Cricetulus griseus: one gene and its partner. The protein of the gene in region 2 purifies or fractionates together with the protein of the main gene of each other region. This does not show direct contact. Links are inferred from orthologs where the notes say so. Each region holds a gene or a part of one and is shown on either strand. Other genes may lie near its edges. The genes, in order: Sprtn and Pold3.

Region 1 (4,516 bases), about 100 Mb from region 2:
GAAAAAAAGTTAAGACCAACTGGGAGGAATTTATCTCTCAGAAGCAAGCATACAGGTTTCCTTAAAGTGTAAATTCCTAAAAACCATAGCGTTAAAGGGCTGAACAGCCAGATCCTTACTATAGAAAACCAGAAAATTCCCAGTCTCAAGCTGTGCTAATACACTGTATGTCCTTGCTCTCAAGGTCTCAAAAAACAGGAAGTGTTGTCACGTCACTCGCATGGTAACAGACAGTTCCAGAAGAGTTCAGTGGTACAAGCATGATCACCAGCGTAGGGAGGGCATACCTCAGCCTTGGCTGTGATATCTCCTCCAATACTGCACTGTCAGGACTCAAAGAACTTCTGATAAGGGACTGTCACACATGTGTGAGAAGCTCCTCCTGAAGGTCCAGAAAAGTGTAATGCAGAACCAAAGGAGCATGCCTCAAATGCTGATCTGGAGTTGTTGGAGGCCTCAAGGAAAAGGACTGCTGGCTCTGTAGCTACTCTACCTCTAGCGCCTAGACAAGTCCATTCATTTCTGTAGGATTCTTATTCAAGGCTGAAAAATCTTCACTTTTACTGAATGAATCTAAGTATAACTTTGAATGGCTGCTGGGCTTGGTGGCACAAACCTATAAGCTCAGTACTTAGGAGGCTGAGTTAGAATTTGCAAGTTTGAGGACAGTCTGGTTTACTGTTTTGCCCTTGCTCCCAAAACATGTGTAGCTTAGTGTACCGTTATGTTGGCTCCTGTCAGTTGGTTGATTCGATGCATATGTTTACAGAACTCTGGGCCATGTCCTTCCCGGTCTTTATCATTATTAGTGACAAATAAGTAGGCATGTATCATTTCATGCAAAAGAGTCTGAAACAGAAAACCAGAAAATTAATTTTCTAGGGCATGTCTGAAGATGAAAACGCTTTCTTAACTTGGGGTCTGTAGGCCCAAGTACACAAAACGTTGCATATACTATTTCAACCTCTGCAGATCCCAGTAAGACAAACTCCCTTCGAGGAATTACAATTGCTCAAAAAAGCCCTATTTATCTACCAACTCAATATGAATCCAACCACATAAAAACTTTAAAGTTCTGGTAGAGAAACCCACCGCAAGCAAAGTCAAAAGATAATTCTGACAACTCTGCAACACGTATCACAAGCTCTGAAATTTGAACATACGGGGCTCGTGATGCCAACACCAAAAGAGCGAATAGCCCAGGTCTAAATGGGCACAAAGCTAAGTATATGCTGGGCATGACACACACCTGTGATCCCAGCACTCAAGGTGGAGGCAGAAGGATCAGGAGTTTGAGACCAGTTTGGCAGCACCAGACTCTACCCCCCTAAAAACAGCTGGGTTCATGCATGCCAGCTCACTGAGGAAGCTGAAGCAAGAGAATCATATAAGACCAGGGCCAACCTGGCAAACAGACTGTCTCTTAAAACTCAATAAAATGTCCTGGCCAGGAATGGTAGTGCACAGCTGTAAAAACCCAACCCTCAGAGCTGAGGCAAGAGGATCTTGAGGTTGAAGCCAGCCTGGACTACTATCAAGATCCTGTCTTTAATTTTTTAAAAAGGCCTGGGCAGTGGTGGAACACACCTTCAATCCCAGCACTTAGGAGGCAAGACGGGTGGATCTTTGTGAGCTCAAGAGGCCAGTCTGGTCTACAGACAGAGTTCTAGGAGACCCAGGGCTGCACAGAGAAGCCCTGTCTCAAAAAACAAAAAAAAAAAAAAAAAAAAAAAAAATTCCTGCAAATCACTGAGCTGAGAACTAGGGTTATGGAAAGAATACCTCTACAAGGTCCTTTCTTGGTCTCAGTTTTAGAAGAGGTTCACTGAGACGGATGGAGCACATTCCTCCTCTTCCTTCATAGGTGCAAATCCCAGCACACCTGGAAAGCAGTCACAACAGTGGATTAGATTCACCAAGAACAGTGGAGACGGATCAAAAAGTAAAATCCTAGCCTGTCGTGGGGGAGCACTATGGAGGCAGAGGCAGTCAGATCTCTGAATTCCGGGCCAGCCAGGGATACTCAGTGAAGCCCTGTCTCAAAAACAAAACAAAAAACATGAGCAAATCCTTACCGGTTCTAGTGCAGTTCAGAGGAAAGAGTCCCTGATGGGATACGGCTTTCCTGAGTGGGACACTTGGAATGCAGGCAGTAACGCTTGCTCACCCTCACCCACTCTGCTCCACACAGGCATTCATCAGCAGGGAATGGTTTAGCGCCCACGTCTGCCCGGATACTTCTCCAAAAGGGTCATAGGGTTGGTGTGAAGTTAGACGGACGCTACATACTACATCTCGCCCTGCTTTACTGCAGGCTGCTTTCTTTCTATGTGACGGTGTAAGTGAAGGGCAGATTACTATTTCGAATGGGATTTCTCAAATTCAATGGGTAGAAAAGGAATCCTGTTGGTACATCACTGAGGGCCGTTAGGCCCGGCCCACTCTGGAATATAGGCACGTCTCCAGTGACCTTTCCCTCCACCGCGAGGCGGGGACACCAACGACAACTCAGCGGCCTCGCCCTTCCCTACGTTCCGAGCCGTTCGTGGGCGCACTCACAGTGTCATGCGCACACTCCACTTCACTTCCACCGCCTCTAGCTGACCCCAAAAGAAGCGGTCGTTAAACTGCAAGAAGAGCGCCTGCAGGTCCGGGGTGGGGTCCACCAGCTCCCAGGACGCATCCACCAACGACACGGACTCCCGCGCCGCCGCGCGCCGTGCCACCTGCACGTCCCACTCCTCCTGCAGTCGCAGCGCAACCACCAGATCCTCGTCCATCGCGCCACTCCCGCCCAAGCTACTCCGAAGACGCCGGCGGTGCTCGCGCAGCGCACTGGTCTCGCGAGAGCTCCGGGCCCGGCTGTCAAGTGCGCGAGGGCTCGCCTCGAATGCCTAACCGAAAGTGGCTCTGAGCCGCCCCGCGGGCACAGGCTTAGGAACGCGGGGCTCGGGCTAGGGAAGGCTCCAGGAAGCCGGTTGTCTCCTGAACGCCCCTGAAGTTCAGCACCTCACGTCAAGTCTGGTCCGCGCCCGAGCCTCTTGACTTCCGTACTGGCTGGTCCGCGCACGCGCCGTAAGTCGCTGCCGCTTTTCGCGCAGGCGCGCCGTCGGCACTCCGCCCCTGGCGCAGGCGCAGTAGGAGAGTCTCGACTCTAGCACAGGCGCAATGCAGCGCTCAGCCCCGGCGCAGGCGTTTGGGTGTTGCTCCCGCCCCGCTTCCTCAGCGGTCTTCTCCGCCGGGCTCGGGTGGGGCCGGACGGCGGCGAGTGACAGCGACCGCGAACTGCGGGAGGAGGACGGATGTCAGCCATGTCCGACAGCGGGGCGAGCCGCCTGCGAAGGCAGCTGGAGTCTGGGGGCTTCGAGGCGCGGCTGTACGTGAAGCAGCTGTCGCAACAGTCGGACGGCGACCGCGACCTGCAGGAACACCGACAGCGGGTGCAGGCGCTGGCGGAGGAGACGGCACAGAACCTGAAGCGCAACGTCTATCAAAACTACCGGCAGTTCATCGAGACGGCGCGCGAGATCTCGTACCTGGAGAGCGAAATGTATCAGCTGAGCCACCTGCTGACAGAGCAGAAGAGCAGTCTAGAGAGCATTCCGCTGGCACTGCTGCCCGCCGCCGCCGCGGGAGCCTCCACGGGTGAGGACACGGCGGGCGCGGGGCCGCGGGAGCGCGGGGCGGCCCAGGCAGGCTTCTTGCCCGGGTCGACGGGCGTCCCCCGCGAGGGCCCTGGTATGGGCGAGGAGGGCAAGCAACGCACGCTCACCACGCTGCTGGAGAAGGTAGAGGGCTGCAGGGACCTGCTGGACACGCCAGGCCAGTACCTGGTGTACAACGGGGACCTGGTGGAGTACGAGGCGGACCACATGGCCCAGCTGCAGCGCGTGCACGGCTTCCTCATGAACGATTGTCTGCTGGTGGCTACCTGGCTGCCACAGCGGCGAGGCATGTACCGCTATAACGCTCTTTACCCGCTGGACCGCCTGGCGGTGGTCAACGTCAAGGACAACCCACCGATGAAAGACATGTTCAAGCTTCTCATGTTCCCCGAGAGCCGCATCTTTCAGGCAGAAAATGCCAAGATTAAACGCGAGTGGCTGGAAGTGCTGGAGGAAACCAAGAGGGCGCTCAGTGACAAGAGGAGGAGGGAGCAGGAGGAGGCAGCGGCCCCTCGTGCGCCACCACCAGTGACTTCCAAGGGCAGCAACCCCTTTGAGGATGAGGATGAGGAAGAGCTGGCCACCCCCGAGGTGGAGGAGGAAAAGGTAGACCTCTCCATGGAGTGGATCCAGGAGTTGCCCGAAGACCTGGATGTCTGTATTGCGCAGAGGGACTTTGAGGGCGCAGTGGACTTGCTGGACAAATTGAATCACTACCTGGAAGATAAGCCCAGCCCACCTCCTGTGAAAGAACTGAGGGCCAAAGTGGATGAACGAGTGCGACAGCTCACCGAGGTGCTGGTGTTTGAGCTCTCCCCGGATCGTTCTCTGAGAGGTGGCCCTAAAGCTAC
Region 2 (4,588 bases):
TCCTCCCTCCCTTCCTTTCTTCCTTTCTTCTTTTCTCTTTCAAGACAGGGTTTTTCTGTGTATTCCTGGCTGTCCTAGAGCTCACTCTGTAGACTAAGCTGGCCTTGAACTCACAAAGATCTGCTTGCTTTTGCCTCCCAAGTGCTGGCATTAGAGGTGTGCACCACCACTACCCAGCTCACAGTCTATTTCTTATCCACTATGCTACAGGATTGAACTACAATGGCTGGGGGCTATTATTAAGGAAGGTGTGTGTGTGTGTGTGTGTGTGTGTGTGTGTGTGTGTGTGTGTGTGTATTGTTGGCAAAAACTTAAGTAGAAATTTTCTAATCTAATGATGTTTTCCTAGGAATAAAGATGGTGTGCCCCATTACACAGCTTAGTAGGCACAGCAGGACCTGGCTCCTCCAAAGTCCTTTCTCCCCATTGGCCTTTTCTCCCAATACTTGAGTAGCTAGAGCAATCTGAGAGAGTCTTTCTCCCCAGACCCCTCCGGAAAACCTTCACCATTCTCTTATTTTGGAAGGATTTTTTTTTTTTGGTGTTTTGAGACAGGGTTTCTCTGTATTGCTTTGGAGGATGTCCTAGAACTCGCTCTATAGACCAGGCTGTCTTTGAACTCACAGAGATCCTCCTGCCTCTGCCTCCCAGGTGCTGGGATTAAAGGCGTGGGCCACCAACGCCTGGCTTGTAAGGATTTTAACAGGCACACTGTCACTATTTCTCACTGCTAGAGAAACACTTAGAACAGAACATCCATTTAATCTTTGTTGTTGAATAAAGGTATCAAATGGCAAGGATGGGGTATCACATTTTACCTCATTGTCGATGCAAAAAGCACAGCTCTCATCTTAAAGGGAATGAGTGATAGTTTATTCTGGAGCTATTTTGAGTGACCATGGCCTGGGTACCCCAAACTCCATGTTCCAATGTGGGAACACTTTCATGAAGTTTTATAATTCTACAGAGCAATGAAAGCCACAAATCAAGGCAAGTTTAAAATACATTCAGAGAGGCAGGTATGTCAATATGGGGGAAGCTTTCCTATAGGATCAAGATGCTATCTGATGACAATTCTTAGCTTTTAGATTGGTGGAAGCTAGTGGTCTGCTAACTTAACCGATTCGAAAAGGTTTCCATCCATTAAGTCACAAGGTGATAATTCCGATTCCGAAGTGGGTAAGAAAGGGCTGTTCCAGAGGGCTAGAACTAGGCCAAGATAAGGTAATTAGTCTCTGGACCTGCAACATTCCAATCTCTCCAAATTACAGAAATGCTGATCAGCCAAGCAGTCTCTGCAGACATGGCTTCTTTTCAAGCGTTTAGTTCACACCACCACCCAGGCTAGGAAAGTGAGCTACCATTGAGTTCCAGTGCTAGACAACAAGAGGTATTTTTCTCACGTTCCAAGCGGAAAAACTCTTGCTTAGAGCGGTAAAACAAACGGTCCTGGGTCAGTCAGTATACCAGTGACAAAGGAGAGATTGGAAAGTTCCCTGGTGCACACAGACAACCAAGCTCGCACCTTTCACTTCCGTCCTACATCCAGTTTCCCTTACGTCACTCCCTTCCGGACTCGCAGTGGTTTGGCCCTCGTCCGCCGCCGTAGCGCGTCGCCTCGGTTGCCGTGGGAGACGACCCGCGACCTGGGAGTGAGCGAATCCGTTTCCCGCCGGCGGGAGCTGTGGCTGTGGTTGAGCCAAGGGCTCGGAGCTGCACCACCATGGCGGAACAGCTGTATCTGGAAAACATAGACGAGTTCGTCACGGACCAGAACAAGATCGTGAGGAACTAGGACTAGGGGGCAGGCGTGTTCGGGGCGGATGTGAGGGGTCCTGGGCCTGCCAGGGCGCCGGGGGTCTCGACCCCGGCGCTTGTGGCTTCCTGGGGACAGGTCGAGGGGGGCACAGGTCACCGCGACGCACCCTCGGGTGGGAGACAGTCCCTGCGGGCAGAGCCTCCCGCGTGCTCTCAAGTTCGCGGGCCTTGGGCGGACGTGTGGGTCTCTGGGGCGTGGAGCAAGGGAAGCAGGCAAGAGTTCGTGAGGCCCCCCTCCCCCATGTCCTGTCGGGTGGTGGGCCCCTCAAGCGGCCCACCCTCAAGCGGTTGAGGAGACCCGACGTCCTATCTGGGCTACTGACTGGTGGTTTACCCTCCAGACACAGTTTCCTCTTCCTGGAAATTTAAATATTGAAAGCATTCAGCATGACCCGCCTCTCTGGGCTGGTGTAACGATGGAGACAGATCTGGAAGTGAAGCAACTTTGTCACAGTGAGCCCATGGACACTGTTTGGTACCGGGTGTAGATTCTTTTGCATCGATCAGTCTGTATTTGTAAGATTAGTATCTTGGTCTTACTTGTCACATAGATGGTTTTTCTAACTGATATCTATTGTAGTTTACAGGACATAATCATACAAGAATAAGAATCTTTGGGAGTAGGCTCTTGGCACTTATCTGTACTCTGTAATCATCTAATAAAACCTTAAAAAATGTTTCCTCTTTCAGGTGACTTACAAGTGGTTAAGCTATACACTAGGAGTTCATGTTAACCAGGCAAAACAGTAAGTCCAGTTTATGCTAATTTTAATGATGCTTTTTTTTCACCTTGTTTTTAAATGCTCAGAGAGCTCTTAGGTTAGATCAGACTTTCCCCCCCTTGGGTTAGTAGAGAATATTATTTTCACTGCTTCTTTCTTTTGGTGTGTGTGTATGTATGTATGTATGTATGTATGTATGTATGCTTGCACAGAGGTCACAGAACACGTGGGATGGTCAGGATGATTTGGGGCTCCTTTCCTCCCTTTCCAACTAGTTTGGATGGGATCTCTTGTTATTCTCTGCTGTGTACACCAGACTGGCCTTCAAGCTTGTGAGGTTTCTTCTGTCTGCCTCCCTCTCACCACACCACAGCTATGCTATCTTATCCAGCTTTGTTGTGGTTTGTGGATCTGAACTCAGGTCCTTATGCTGGCGTGGCAACCACTTGACTAGCTTTGCTGTTCCCCCAGCCCTGTTTTTCTCTCTTTTAGATCAGTGGACTTGCTGTTTTGTTTTGTTTTGTTTTGTTTTTCCCTCCAGACTTGGTTAACATCACTTTGTATAGTGATTTGAATGAGAATGCTTCCCCCATAGGCTCATATGTTTACATTCCCAGTTTGTGGCACTGTTTGGGGGATGGTCTGTTTTGTGCTTATGCTTGCCTTTGAAGATAGGAACTCTCAACTTCCTTCTCAACCTCCCTGGCCTCTCCCACACCTCCTTTCACGATGGACTCTTAACTCTCAGGAACTGTACTCCCAAATAAACTCTTTATTCTATCTATTGTTTTTGTCATGGTCTTTTATCACAGCAACAGAAAAGTAATATTACACTTCCGTTATTTCGGTTTTATTAAATGGGTTCACCAATCCTGTTTATAGCTCAGATTTATGTGTTTGTTGTTGTAGATCTTCATGTTTCCACATGTGTTTATTAGGCCTAACTTTGACCCATATTTTCATAATGGTTTCTGTTTCTGTGATAAATACTGACTAAAACCAATGTGGGGAGGAAAGGGTTTGTCTTACAAGACAGGAACTGAAGCAGAGACCATGAAGGAGCCCAGCTTACTTACTGGCTTGCTCTCTTTGGCTTGTTCAGCTACCTTATACAACTGAGGACCATCTGCCCACTGTGGGCTGGGCTCTCCTACATCAATTAACAATTAAGAGATTGCCCCACAGACATGCCCACAGGCCCATTCAATGGAGGCAGTTCCTCAGTTCAGGTTCCCCATTCCTGAGTGTACCAGAGGCCAACGTGTGTTTGACATTAGCTGTCTGATAGTATAGTGTGAGAACTGGAGCCAATGAGATGGCTTGAGTGGGCAAAGGTGCTTGCTGTTGAGCCTGATGGCCTGAGTTAAGTTTTGGGGACTTACACATCAGAAAGAGAGACAGACTGTCACAGGTGGTCTTCTAATCTCCACCGGTGACTGTTGCACACACACACACACACACACACACACACACACACACACACACACACACAAATTAATTACAATTTAAAAAAATATGAGAGTATTTGCCGGGCAGTGGTGGTGCATACCTTTAATCCCAGCAGAGGCAGGCAGATCTCTCTGAGTTTGAGACCAGCCCGGTCTATAAGAGCTAGTTCCAGAACATGCTCCAAAGCTACATAGAGAAACCCTGTCTTGAAAAACTTAATAATAATAATAATAAAAGATATGTGAGTATTTAAGTGAAAGTAAAGAGCGTGCTTAGGATGCCAGAGCACTGCCTTCTTGCATTCTGCCACATCTTTCTGTTGTTGTTGTTGTTAAAACAGATCTGACTTGAGGCCAAAAAAGAAAAGACAACTTTGAAATCAATGCTAGAATGTTTTGATATGCAAAGGTACAGAATGTTGTCTAAATCCCAAGAGGAAGAATGGGTTAACCATTTGAGAAATCTTGTATGGGTTAAATGCCTTGTTTAGTTTGTCCTGCTCCTGGATGGGCTGATTTTTAGGGGCGTTCTTTGAGCTGTACCAACATGGAGCATGTCTTTGAAAGCCCCCAATCTCCCAGAGTAGGCCAATTGGGCTT

What was found.
Region 1: the proteins of Pold3 (region 2) and Sprtn purify together in Homo sapiens (affinity purification with mass spectrometry; 3 studies listed by BioGRID, with this or other methods). This does not show direct contact. The link is inferred for Cricetulus griseus from reciprocal best matches to the Homo sapiens genes POLD3 and SPRTN.

The regions. Positions count from the first base shown.
Region 1 is NC_048596.1:201,642,721-201,647,236, reverse strand, and holds the start of Sprtn (sprT-like domain-containing protein Spartan), read right to left. Parts: upstream 3,087-4,516; 5' UTR 2,781-3,086; coding exon 2,560-2,780; intron 2,552-2,559; exon of another isoform or gene 2,076-2,551; intron 1,883-2,075; coding exon 1,783-1,882; intron 850-1,782; coding exon 721-849; intron 1-720. Other genes in the region: Exoc8 (exocyst complex component 8), read left to right, coding at 3,303-4,516. UniProt on the Homo sapiens protein: DNA-dependent metalloendopeptidase that mediates the proteolytic cleavage of covalent DNA-protein cross-links (DPCs) during DNA synthesis, thereby playing a key role in maintaining genomic integrity.
Region 2 is NC_048596.1:99,420,786-99,425,373, forward strand, and holds the start of Pold3 (DNA polymerase delta subunit 3), read left to right. Parts: upstream 1-1,629; 5' UTR 1,630-1,723; coding exon 1,724-1,783; intron 1,784-1,925; exon of another isoform or gene 1,926-2,148; intron 2,149-2,201; exon of another isoform or gene 2,202-2,334; intron 2,335-2,508; coding exon 2,509-2,564; intron 2,565-4,588. UniProt on the Homo sapiens protein: Accessory component of both the DNA polymerase delta complex and the DNA polymerase zeta complex.